Linked DNA regions of Canis lupus familiaris. The protein of the gene in region 1 purifies or fractionates together with the protein of each later gene. This does not show direct contact. Links are inferred from orthologs where the notes say so. Each region holds a gene or a part of one and is shown in the gene's direction. Other genes may lie near its edges.

Region 1 (4,270 bases):
TATTCCAAAAACATGCTTTATAGCAAAAGAAAATCCAAGGTCATCTGTTGCATTCAGCAGTCTGAGCTCTTTATTCCAAGCTTTGGAGCAGCCCCTCCCTTGGCTCTGTTCCTCCCAGAGCTTTGGTTGAGGCCTCTGCTCTGGGCTAGTTGGTGGGTGCCTGATGGAGGAAAATCAAAAGTGTGGTTGGGGGGTGTTGGGTGCGTGTGTGTCTCTTTTCTCTATCAGCCCAGCTTCCCAGAAGTCCCATGTGTGCCTATTGGATGAAACAAGGAGAACCTGGGGGTTTAATGGTAGAAGTGAGAGGCTTGTCTCCTTTTCCACCAAAGTCCTTTGGCTATTTATTCCTGTTAAAGAAACTGGTGGATTCAATGCCAGGTTCTCCCTGCGGTGCTGCTGCTGAGAATTAGTGTAAACCGGGAAGCCAGCAGAGCTGGCTTATTGTTTGCCAGCAGAGCCTTTGTCTGTCAGACTAATCTGCAACCCATCTTTGGGCGTGCAGGATGACTGTTGATTATACACCATGTCTAACATTTTTTGGGGGGCGGGGGAAGGGGGTTGCTTGGATATAGTGGGTTTATATTAAGAGAAATCCCTTCTTGGGCAGCTGGGTGGCTCAGAGGCTCAGCGTCTGCCTTCAGCTCAGGTTGTGATCCAGGGGATCCTGGGATGGAGCCTGCTTCTCCCTCTGCCTGTCTCTTGCTTCTCTCTTGTCTCTCATGAATAGATAAATAATTAAAAAAAATAAAAGCGTAACCCCTTATGCGTGCTCTACACAATTACTTCATTTAACTTTCACAACAATCTCCTATGATCTAGGTACCCATTTTAAAGCTGAGGAAAACTGAGGCTCAAAGAGGGTCTAATTAGTAACCTGGCCGGGGTCGCGTATTGGGTTAACTAGAGCACGACTGCGTCTCCACAGCTCAGGGCTCTTCAGCCACCTCTGTTCTAACTATAAATTCCACATGTTCACATTGTCCCCGAATAAGTTTAAGATTTTCTTTTTTTTTTTTTTTAGTTTTTTTTTTTTTTTTTTTTTAAGATTTTATTTTATTCATGATAGAGAGGCAGCAGAGGGAGAAGCAGGCTCCGTGCAGGGAGCCGGTTGCGGGACTCGACCCCGGGTCTCCAGGGTCACGCCCCGGGCCGAAGGCGGCGCTGAGCCCCCCAGGGATCCCCTACTTGGCGATTTGCACGACTGATTTCACGTGGCCCTGGAAGTCGGTTCACGCCAGGAACCACGAGGTCCGGAGACCGTGGGAGGGAAGGGCGCCCGTGGAGACCGGAAGCTCAAGGAAAAGCTTTAAAAAACTATTTTTGGAAAACCCGCGTCCCGGGGACCAGGCGGCGCCCACCCGCCCGCCCGCCCGCCGCCCGCCGCCCGCCGCGGCCCGCGGGGCAGCCTGGGGAGAGAGCCCGCCTCCTGACCCATAAGGCCCTGGGCCGGAAGCTTCGCCCTCTCTTCCTGTTCTCCACCATGGCGGTGAGTAGCTGAGGCCCTGCTTTGCTTCTCTTCATCCGCCTCCATCCGCCTTCATCCGAGGCGGGAGCTGCCTCGTCCGCGGCCGGAGAAGGGAGCCCGTAAGGCTCGCCGTGGCGGAACTGGCAGAGCCATGCGGGCCGAGGCCGCGGAGCCGAGCCCTGCCCCCTCCACTCCCGCTCCCCTCCCGCTCCTCAGCCGGCTGGGGGCGGCCGCCGGGAGGGCGAGCGGAGCGCGGCGCGTCAGCTGCGGGGAGGGCGACGGAGCGAACGGAGGGGCTGGACCTGTTCCCCGTCCCGGGGACTTGAGGCTTGCCGGGTGCTTAGGGAGCCGCAGCCCGCCCCTCCGCTCGAGGAGGCCGCCTGCCCTCTGCCCCCCGGGCTGCTTCCGAAAGGAATGGGGGACGTCGCCCAACCACGCGCTTCCTGTTTCCTCAGCGGCGTTTAAATCCGATTTTCTTGCCCGTCGGCTTTGTAGCGGGGACGCGCGCTCCGACACCTTACGGGGGTGAGCCCCTTGGGGTTCGAACTCCCGCTACCTGCCCCAAGTTTCTGTTCGTCCATTCCTGGCGCGGAGGGGGAGCCCAGCTCCCGAGCTGGTGCACAGACACCGCGATGCTTTGCAAGCCCGTAAGGCTGTCGTTAGGAACCGGGATGAGCAGAACTAGGTAGGCGGTGTCTACAGATGTGGGACTCGGAGCTGTGGCGGGGTGGCGTGTTGACTGCTGCGCTTCCCTCGTTGCAGCAGGATCAAGGTGAAAAGGAGAACCCCATGCGGGAGCTTCGCATCCGCAAACTCTGCCTCAACATCTGTGTGGGGGAGAGTGGAGACAGACTGACCCGCGCGGCCAAGGTGCTGGAGCAGCTCACGGGCCAGACCCCAGTGTTCTCCAAAGGTCAGTGGTGGCCGTCAGGGGAGAGAACATCCCTGCATGTTCTTTTCTAATTTACCTGGTATACAGCCTCTTCAGTGCCCGTTTTGAAAGTGACAGTTGATGCCCCTTAAAAAGCATCACCATCCTGAGCTACCCAAGAAGTATTTTCCTTTGTTTTATTTAATTTTATTTATTCATGAGAGACACAGAGAGGCAGAGGGAGAAGCTGGCTCCATGCAGGGACCTGATGTGGGACTCGATCCTGGGTCTCCAGGATCACTGCCTGGGCCGAAGGCAGACGCCAAACTGCTGAGCTACCCAGGGATCCCAAAGTATTTTCCTTTCAAGACGGGTTTGGTTTTGGAATACCAGGTCTTTAAGTTAGCAGAGCTTCAGCCAGGGCCAGCCTAAGTAGAGATTTTTCCGGGTAAAGTTAGAAACATTAGGAATGCACTAGGTGATATTTGGCTTGAATGACTCACTGAGAATTTATAGGCTACATGGAGAAGGGCTCTGTGCCTAGGCCAACTGGGTTCAAATCCTGGCCCCATCATTTGCGGGTCTGGCCTCAGCCTTTCTGGGTCTCAGCTTCCTTATTTGCCTAAATGAGATGATAATAAGATTGTGAAAAATAAAATAGATTTTATGAAGTGCCTGCTACATACCAAGCCCAGCGTGGACATTAGCATCGTTAAGTTTCTTTGCTTTAGGATAATGCAGTATGGCACATTGTTGGGTTTAGATCCTGCCTTTTGTTACCAACTGTGATTTGGGGCAAGTTAACCTCCCAGAACCTCATCTATAACAGGATAACATTAGAGAATTATCAATAATGTTTTGTTTTCTTTAGAATACAGTGACCATATTCCTTTCTAGTGGCCTCTTCTGGCTGTGAACTTGGCCCGTCCTGAGACTTAGATGTGACTTTGAGCTCTTAATTGCTTAAGTATGATTGAATGACTTGGAAGTTGAAAAATCTGTTTTCTGTGCTATGGATGAAACCAGATGTAGGTGACACTGGTAGGAATGCCAGCACTTAGGATGTGGGTGGATATTTAATGTGTCTTAGAATTGTGGAGATGATGTTCTAGGGAAGAGGTGAGTGCAGTGGGAGTGTGATACCTGACTCCTTGTTTTCCCCTCCTGCAGCTAGGTACACGGTTAGATCCTTTGGTATCAGGAGAAATGAAAAGATTGCTGTCCACTGCACAGTCCGTGGGGCCAAAGCAGAAGAAATCCTGGAGAAAGGTCTAAAGGTGAGGCTGATCCCCTCATGGGATAATAAAGAGCACCAGCTTATGTGTTAACAACTAGATAATTACAGTGGCAGTGGTTATACTTTGTACACTGTCTTTGGTCCCTTGATATATTTTTTTAATTTGAAATTTTTTTGAACCTCTAAAGGGTGTTTCCTGCACCCAACAAGGTTTTAAACTTTATTCTTGAATGATTTCTCTGGGTTTTTCAATGCCTTTTAAATATTGGGAAAGCTCTATGAACTGCTTCTTCTTTTCTTTTTTTTTTTTTTAGCTCTAGAAACTCCTATCGTGGGTTGTGATTTGGTGTCGTGGGGAAATGAGATTTTTGTTCATGATCAAATTATATCGAATTGTATCTCAGGGTGCTGAGTGATGAGGACTAAACTAATAATTTGGGGGGATTTGAATTGACGAGGGATATGATTGCTGCATTTGTCTCCTTAGGTGCGAGAGTATGAGTTAAGAAAAAATAACTTCTCCGATACTGGAAACTTTGGTTTTGGGATCCAGGAGCACATCGATCTGGGGATCAAATATGACCCAAGCATTGGTATCTACGGCCTGGACTTCTATGTGGTATGAATATTTAGTCTTTTCTACTCCTGGTCTGTGAGAAGAGTGGAATCTGCTACTCCTTTATTTTGTGTGTGCTAT
Region 2 (4,081 bases), on another chromosome or scaffold:
GGACCTGTGGGAACAGTACAAACCCGAGCAGATGGCAGCAACGGCAAAAGCTCAGAGCCTCCAGAGCTAGAAGTCAGGCTTTACCTGCCATGTCCCCAGGCCAAAGGCTGTCACAGGAATGAGAAGCAGGAACCACTGGAGGAAGGAGTCCTCTTGTGCTTCTGTGGCAGGTGCTTCAGCTGCAGAACTGCCACACCTGCTTGGCCTCCAGGCCAACCCTGGGAAGTTCAACACCACAGGCCCAGGGTCAGAAGCCCTTGACAAATAGAATGGGAGCAGCCAATCCCTCAAGGAGACGCCACCACTACTGCCAGACAGTAAACAGGCCACAGCCTGTGGCCAGCAGCCAACCAGTGACACCTGCGTCCAGCCCAGCTTCTAAACTGGGGCCACACGCTGCACACTCGGTGATGTTTACTGACTGAATAAACACGGCCTAGGGCTTAGTCCTGCTGTGCCACCAGCTGTGACCCCGGGTAACTCCTGTAACCACCTGCGCCTTTTACACAACAATTCCCTGCGCACTATGTGCACATGTATTACATTGTGCACGACATTGTGCACAACAATACATTGCACTAAGACGCACCCGCGCAGAGGCAGAACCGTGAAAACCCGGGATCGCGGCTCACGGCTCACGGCGCTCGAACACCTTCCTTTCCACTGCTCGTAAACTTAAAGCTGGAACAACGTACTCAGAAAGTATATTTTAGTTGTCGGAGCGTGAGTCTCAAGTCAGCAACACGGGCTTTGTGGACAGTTTAAAAAAAAAAAAAGGCTGCAGCGCGCTGACGAGCACCCTTCCCCCTCGCGCGGCGCCCCGCTCCCGGCTGTCGGTGCACGCGCAGCCCGCAGGCCGCGGGTCCCAGGCTCCCGGCCTTCAAACCCCATCAGGCGCTGGAAGGGGGCAGCTCCGAGCTCCCCTCAAGGCCGCGGCCCCCGGGCAGAGCGGGGGACGGGGGCGGGGACGGGGGCGGGGGCGGCTCTTCCCGGGCGCCCGGGGCACCCGCGAGCCAGTCCTCACCTGGGCGCAGGGGGACCGCAAGGACGCTCCTCCTGACCGCGCGGGGCGGGCCCTGCGGAGACCGGGACACAGGCTGAGCTCCCCAAGCCGGGACGCTGGCCCCCAGCCCGCCCGACGCGCCCGCGCCGCTCACCCGCCCCTCCGCCGCCGCCGCCGCCGCCCGCAGCCCCAGCCACCGCACGGCCGCCGCCATCGCCCGCCGGCACTTCCGGGCCGCGAGGCATCTGCTTCCGGGGCACCGCCGAGCCCCGCCCCCGGCGCACGGTCCACGCGGTGCGAGCGGCGCCCGCCTGCGGGTCTGACCATGGGCGAGCCTCCGGCCGCCGTGCGCGCCTTCCTGCGCCAGCACCCGAGTCTGCGGCTGGAGCCCGGCGCGCACAAGGTCCGCGGGCCGGGGGAGAGGCGCGGCGCCGCGCGGCCGCCCGGGCCCCCCTGACCGCCTCGCCCGCCCTCCTGCCCGCAGGTCAAGTGCGTCCTCACCGGCCACGAGCTGCCCTGCCGTCTGCCGGAGCTCGAGGTCTACACCCGCGGCAAGAAATACCGGCGGCTGGTCCGCGCCAACCCGGCCTTCGACTACGCGGAGTTCGAGCCGCACATCGTGCCCAGCACCAAGAACCCGTACGTGCGCGGGGCCGCTGCGGGCGGGCTCCGAGGGGACGTGCCCACCGTGGTGAGGTACCGACGGCAGCCGACAGCCGGGGGAGGCCGGGCCCCTCCCCGCGGCCTGTTTGCTTCTCGTGGGGCCGAGGTCTGTCCCTTCGGGTTCGGAATGGGGCCAGTTTCACATACCTAGGGAGGACTTGGGTGGAGCCGCCGCTGTTTGCGGGCAGGGGCTGACAGGAAGAGGGCGCTGGGGGCTGCTGCTTCGCGCTCGGCCGGGCCGCCGCGTCTTCCCGCATCCCTGGAGCGGGGGCGGGCCGCTGAGGCTGGCCAGGCCTGGGTTCCAGGCCAACCGCGGGAGGTCACAGCCCGGCCGGACCAGTGCTCGTCCGCCTCGGCTGCAGAGGGGACCGCCTGCTGCCCAGGCCCCATCCTAGGCCTCTGCTGTCAGGCTGGCTGAGATCCTCATGACTGTCCCTGTCCCCCAGGCACCAGCTGTTCTGCAAACTCACCCTGCGGCACATCAACAAGTCCCCAGAGCATGTGCTGAGGCACACCCAGGGCCAGCGGTACCAGAGAGCCCTGTGTGAATGTAAGTAGCCGTGGGTGGACACGGCCTGCTCTCTCCTCCAGGACAAGCGCCCTTGGAAGGCAGCAGCGGCGTCTCAGTCACCCACTGGCAGCCGCTGGTGGTGCCCTGGGCCCAGCCCTGGGGAGGCATGGGGCTGGAGGTGGGGATGAAGCAGGCGGCTGGTGACTGCTACGTGCTGTGAAGGACGGGTGCCGAGGGCTGTCTGTGGAGAGTAGAGGCAGGGATTCAGCCAAGGTCAGAAGAACGCTTGGCTGCCGCAGCTCCTGAAGGACGGCCTCCATGCCACCATGCAAGGGGAGGTCAGTCAGCAAGGGAGGTGGAGACGACCACAGGGGGTCTTGGAGGCCATGGCCTGGACCACGGGAGGTGGAGATGCATTGAAAGGACAGAAGCAGGGCTGTGGCACCACCACTGTGGGTAGGGAAGATGCGGACAGGCAGAACTGTCTGTGGCTAGAATCAGTAGGTGAGGGAATGAGGTCAGAAATCACCTGGATTCCTCAATTCCTGGCTCAAGACCGGCGGTTTGGAAAGTGGCCTCTGGATAAGAGACCCCCTGAGGAAATGAAATGTTCCTTTCAACCTGTGTCGGGGGACGGTGGCTATTGAAGTCGGGCCAGCGCTCAGAGGGTGCACATCACCGACACGGAGCGAAGGAAGAAGGGATGGGGCTGGGCCTGACCACGAAGGAGCCCAGAAGGGTGAGAAGAGCCAGGTGGAGGGGTCAGGGGCAGAAGTTTTAGGAGTGCTGGGACGACCAGGGGCTTTGGGGACAGACACAGAGACAGGATAAGGAAGAGAACTCTGAAGGCGGGGTTTCTCCCAGGAAGAAACGAGGCACAGTCTTCACCTCAGGACAGTAGTGAGGGATGCTGTGGACAGCTGAGAAGCAGGCATCCTACGCGGGTGCAGAGACTGAGGGCTGCTTGGTGTGGGCGGGAAGGAGGTCCTGGGTTTCCCCACAGGCTAGACTCATCCTATGTTGGGGTAGGTGGTTCATAGGTCCAGCGGCTGGGAGTGCAGAGAGGAGACCCGGGTGCAGAGCCCAGTGGCCACAAGGCCCTGTGGGGCAGAGGTGAGGCAGAGGATATGTCCTTGGAGGAGGGCAGAAGCAGACATCAGACCAGGGGGCCCAGTCCCCTCCCTCCTCTCTGAGGGGCCTGCATGGACAGGAGCCATGCCCACACAGGGCAGGGTTCAGAAGCCAGGCTCGTCGGTGCCACCCTGCTCCTCATCTCGGCTCAATCTGGATCTGCCACGCTGAGCTCCTGGCCTCACTGAGTCCTCTACATGGGACCTTGTGGCTCCGGCGTGAGGGCCCAGCAGCCCTCCCTGGGGCTCCTGAGGCCAGGGAAGGGCTGGGGGGTTCAGTGCTCAAGGCCCCACCCCTGCATGGCCCTACACTGGAGGACAGGGGCAGGCACAGAACCAGGCAGTGTGCTGGTCTGTCTTCCAGATGAAAAGTGTCAGAAGCAGGGTGTGGAATATGTGCCCGCCTGCCTCCTGCACAAGAGGAGGAGGAAGGAAGCCCAGATGGACGGCACTGGGCCACCTCACTCAAGAGAAGCCTTCTGGGAACCTGCATCCAGCGAGGACGATGCAGCTGCCAGTGACAGTGAGGACAGCATGACAGACCTGTACCCACGTAAGTGGGACTGCCCCCCCCACCCCACTTCCTGCAGATTTGGGTCCTGGCTGTCTGGTCTATGCCTCCGTCTGTTCCACTTCGAGTCCTGGGCCCTGGCTGGCCACCCCCTGCTCAGCCCTGTGCAGACGGTGAAGCTAAGCTGAAATTGCCCGTCCCTCCGTGCCTTCCAGCCGAGTTGTTCACCAGAAAGGACCTGGGAAGGACTGAGCCTGGCGACA
Region 3 (4,247 bases), on another chromosome or scaffold:
AGCTGTCTGCAAGCTCGAGAGAGAGCTCTAGAAACGCAACTATCGGGCACCCTGCCTTTGGACTTCCCAGCCTCCAGAACTGTGACAAATAAATGTGTGTTGTGGGCAGCCCCGGTGGCTTAGCAGTTTAGTGCTGCCTTCAGCCCAGGACATAATCCTGGAGACCCAGGATCGAGTCCCATGTCAGGCTCCCTGCGTGGAGGCTGCTTCTCCCTCTGCCTGTCTCTCTCTCTCTCTCTAATAAATAAATAAAAAATTTAAAAAATTTTTAAAAATGTGTGTTGTTTAAAGCACTTGGTCCATGGTGTTTTGTTACAACAGACTGAGCTAAAAACTCCATCTATCCATTCCTTCATTCAGTGAATATTTATTGAGTCCTTACTGTGTGTGTCAAGTGCTATTCTAAGATGTGGAGTTACAGTAGTGAACAAACTTACAAGGCCCCTACTCTCAAGAAACGTATATTCTAGCTTTGGAGATGCTCAATAGACCTGTACATAACATAATTGCAGCTAGTGATAAATGCCATGAAGGAAATAAAACAGAATAACTGCAGAAGGGCAGTAGATGACTGATTTGGAAAGATCAGACAGGAAAGTCTTCTCCCAGTAGAAAATATTGCCAGATAAAAATCCCAGATGCCCAGTTAAATTTGCATTTCAGATAAACTATTAGGTTTTTTTTTTTAAGTGAAAGGACCACCCAAATATTGCATGGAACATACTTGCACTAAAAATTATCGTTTACCTGAAATGCAGTGCTCGCTTCGGCAGCACGTATATATGTTTATCTGAAATGCAAATTTAACCAGGTCTCATGTATTTTTATTTACGAAATCTTGCGACCCTACCAGTAGGTGACATCCGAGCTGAGAAGGGAAAGAGCAGAAGGAACCAGCTACGCAAGTGTTCAAGGAAGAGAGACTCAGGTGGAGGGATCTAGTGTAAATGTCAGAATCCGGGGAGGGAGGGAGGTGCAAATGAGGTGAAATAGGCAGGGGCCAGACCCTGCAGAATTCTGTAGGGATGGTAAGGGGTTGTGAGTTTCTTTCAATCTCTCTTTAAGAGGGAGGATGATGATGTGCTGTTGGAGGAATTTTTTTTGGTGGTTTTTTTTTTTCGCTGTTGGAGTTTTAAGAAAAGTGAGAAGCCCCGACTGCTACTTTGCTGTATGGTCCTCGCCTTGTGTAAGAGTTAGAGGACAACCTCAGAAGACAGTGGAGCACAAGCTCGTGCGGCCGGCCGGCCTGGGCCTGGGCCCCCGGGAGCTCGCGCGGGGCCTGGTACCCAGGCGTCAGCTTGGCGGTTGCTAGGCAGCGAAGGGGGCGGGGTCTCCGCGGGACGGCCGCTAAAGGGGGCGGGGCTCCGCCGGGGCGGGGCCAAGGGCGCGGCGGCGCGCGCCGCGCGTTCGCAGGAAGTCGCGCGGGACGCGAGCGGAAGTGACGTCGCCCGCGCCCACGTGGTCCGGCGTGGTTGTGGAAGGGGGCGCTTCGGCGGGTCCTGCGGCGCTGCGGGCTTAGTTGACCGGTCAGGGCTCCCTCGGCCTAGCGCCCCGGTTCCCGTCGGGTCGGCAAGATGGTGAAGCCCAGGTACAAAGGACGGAGCACCATCAACCCCTCCAAGGCCAGCACCAACCCTGGTACGGGCGGCGGGGGCTCCGGAGGGGGGCTCGGAGGAGGCCGAGAGGGAGGAGGGGCGCCGGGGCCGGGGGATGCTGGGGCCGAGCCGGGACGAGGTGGTGCTTTCCTTTCGGGGGCCCTGACCTCTTGCACGGCTCTCAGGGCAGGGGGGGCGGGGGCAGTGAACGCTCAGGCCTGGCAGCCCTGGGGCATCTCCAGTTGCCCGAGGTCCTGTGTGGGGCATCAGCCTGTCCCCAGTGTATTTCAGCCCCGGAGGACTGCAGCTTTCCAGCCCAGGGAATTGCTAGAAGCAAATTAGATAAAGCCCCATTACAGGGTGGTTGGTGTAGGGCAGACCCGGCTGGCGCACCTCCCTGCCCCTCTGGCTGCCTTTGACCCTTTAAATGAGAAAGGGGGGTGGGGGGTTCTACATTTGGCCTTTGGAGGCAAATCCCGCCTGTAAAGGGCACAGAAAACCCTACAGATGGATACCTGGTGATCATTCCAGTAAAGATTTATTTTTTTTATTTTTTTACTTATTTTTTATTTTTTTAAGGTTTTATTTATTTATTTATTCACGAGAGAGACACAGAGAGAGGCAGAGACACAGGCAGAGGGAGAAGCAGGCTCCATGCAGGGAGCCCGACGTGGGACTCCATCCTGGGACCTCAGGATCGCACCCTGAGCCAAAGCAGATGCTCAACCGCTGAGCCACCCAGGCGTCCCAAAGACTTTTTTTTTTTTTTTAAGATTTTTATTTACTTATTCATGAGACACAGAGAGAGAGGCAGACACAGAGGCAGAGGGAGAAGCAGGCTCTGTGCAGGGAGCCCGATGGGGGAACTCGATCTCGGGACCCCGGGGTCACGCCCTGGGTTGAAGGTGGATGCTCACTGAGCCACCCAGACATCCCTAAATAAGGGTGTTTTTAGAGATGTTTAGTTCTACTGAGTTCCCACGTGCAGGATGAACAAGGTGGTTTGGGGGGTGGGGGGTAGGGGGGATCCCTTCTATTGGGTTTAGTTAATAAAACTTTGTTTTTAAAAAAAGTTTTTTGAGAACTTTAGTTCACGTCGAATGTTTTTCCTGGATTGCTGATAAATTATCTGATATGCGTAGACTGGAATCTTAGACTGTTAGACCCCGAAAAGGCCTTTTAGAGGTTATGATGTTACAGGGGGAAGAGATGGAGCCAAAATTGGGGAAGTCGCTAATCACCGTTGGTTGGTTGGTTGGTTGGTTGGCGCAGCTCGTGAGCAGCAGAGCGGCCAGTGCTGGGATGTCAGCCTGATTTCTACTCTATCACTTCAGGAGTAGACAGGTGACTTGACGTCATCCCCCAAAAGGAAAGCTGGGCTAGTGTTAGCAATGCTGATTTGTCCTTGTCTTTCTCTCTGAGCCGTAAAGCAAAAACTTCCACTTTCTTTGCTGTTTATCGAACTAAAACAGTAAGAAATGAAGAAACTGGTACGTAAGGAACACTTGAGTATCAAACTTGTAGTCTCCACGATGCCTTGCCTGTAGCAGGCACTCAATCTGTTCCAACTGAGACAGGTAAGAGCCCAGATGGTAATGTAATGCTTTTGTTCAAATTCTGGCTCTGCCACTTAGTAGCTGTGCGATTTGGGCAAGGTGATCTGGCCACCTGTACCTCAGTTTCTTAGCCTGCAGAATGAGGATAGTGTATCTCGTTATAGGATTATCATATGGCTTACACGAGGTGATGCCTGTAATGCGGATCGCACAGTGCCACAGTTAATGCTCAAAATTATTAACTCTTATCAAACGACAGTCATACTGAGGATCAAAGATCAGGTCAGCTTTGTCCTACCACGTAGCTTCCAGTGATAATAATTCCGTTGGAATGATAGAGGGAAAGAGAAAGAGATTTTGCAGCCAGGCCGCAGCTTGCCTACTTTGAGTGAACTAGTTGATGTGTTTGAGGCTCTGACTGTACTTAAGCTTGGTTATCAAATAGTTTGCGGTCGGCTTCTGTCTTTCCTAGATCGAGTGCAGGGAGCAGGGGGCCAAAACATGAGGGACCGGGCCACCATCCGGCGCCTGAATATGTACAGGCAAAAGGAGCGCAGGTGAGCATTACACATTGTCCTCCTCCCCTTTCCTTCATGCCCCGGACTTGTAGCTGAGACCTCGTAACCTTTGATATTCCCACTGCCACTTTCCCCAACTAGGAGTAGTATGTTTTCAAATATCATCTTATATGGGTGGTGTTATGATAAATGGCGGAGTTTTGGTTCAAGACGTGGGCAGCGGGTGGTGAAACAGTGATTGTGTCACAAGACTGTATGACCAGTGGAGGTTTTATTCCTCACAGCTTCAGCCTCCATGGATAGCACATTAAATCTCAAGTTAAATATCCTTCAGATAGAAATCTGGTTTTTCTTTAACAAATTATATAGGACTGTGGTTATGAAAGCAGCCAGAAAACTTGTTTTTTAATGCGGAACTTTAGATCACAACATTGTGGCACTTGGAAACTCATCACGACTGTGAGTTCTGCTGAGGCAGCCTCTACCATGGGGACTTGCTGAGCGTGGCATTTTGCTAGCTGGTCTTAATTTGTTTGGTAATTAGATTCTTCATCCGTTCTGAAAGATGTGTCTAAAAC

Evidence for each region. The genes of interacting proteins can lie anywhere in the genome.
Region 2: the proteins of RPL11 (region 1) and SURF2 purify together in Homo sapiens (affinity purification with mass spectrometry; 3 studies listed by BioGRID and IntAct, counting the BioPlex papers as one, with this or other methods). This does not show direct contact. The link is inferred for Canis lupus familiaris from reciprocal best matches to the Homo sapiens genes RPL11 and SURF2.
Region 3: the proteins of RPL11 (region 1) and GNL2 purify together in Homo sapiens (co-immunoprecipitation; 3 studies listed by BioGRID and IntAct, with this or other methods). This does not show direct contact. The link is inferred for Canis lupus familiaris from reciprocal best matches to the Homo sapiens genes RPL11 and GNL2.

Annotation. Positions count from the first base shown.
Region 1 is NC_049223.1:75,176,898-75,181,167, reverse strand, and holds the start of RPL11 (60S ribosomal protein L11), read left to right. Parts: upstream 1-1,457; 5' UTR 1,458-1,480; coding exon 1,481-1,486; exon of another isoform or gene 1,487-1,626; intron 1,627-2,227; coding exon 2,228-2,378; intron 2,379-3,506; coding exon 3,507-3,613; intron 3,614-4,060; coding exon 4,061-4,192; intron 4,193-4,270.
Region 2 is NC_049230.1:49,844,895-49,848,975, forward strand, and holds the start of SURF2 (surfeit locus protein 2), read left to right. Parts: upstream 1-1,269; 5' UTR 1,270-1,328; coding exon 1,329-1,406; intron 1,407-1,487; coding exon 1,488-1,699; intron 1,700-2,112; coding exon 2,113-2,216; intron 2,217-3,671; coding exon 3,672-3,860; intron 3,861-4,033; coding exon 4,034-4,081.
Region 3 is NC_049236.1:4,965,257-4,969,503, forward strand, and holds the start of GNL2 (nucleolar GTP-binding protein 2), read left to right. Parts: upstream 1-1,435; 5' UTR 1,436-1,574; coding exon 1,575-1,638; intron 1,639-3,623; coding exon 3,624-3,708; intron 3,709-4,247. UniProt on the Homo sapiens protein: GTPase that associates with pre-60S ribosomal subunits in the nucleolus and is required for their nuclear export and maturation.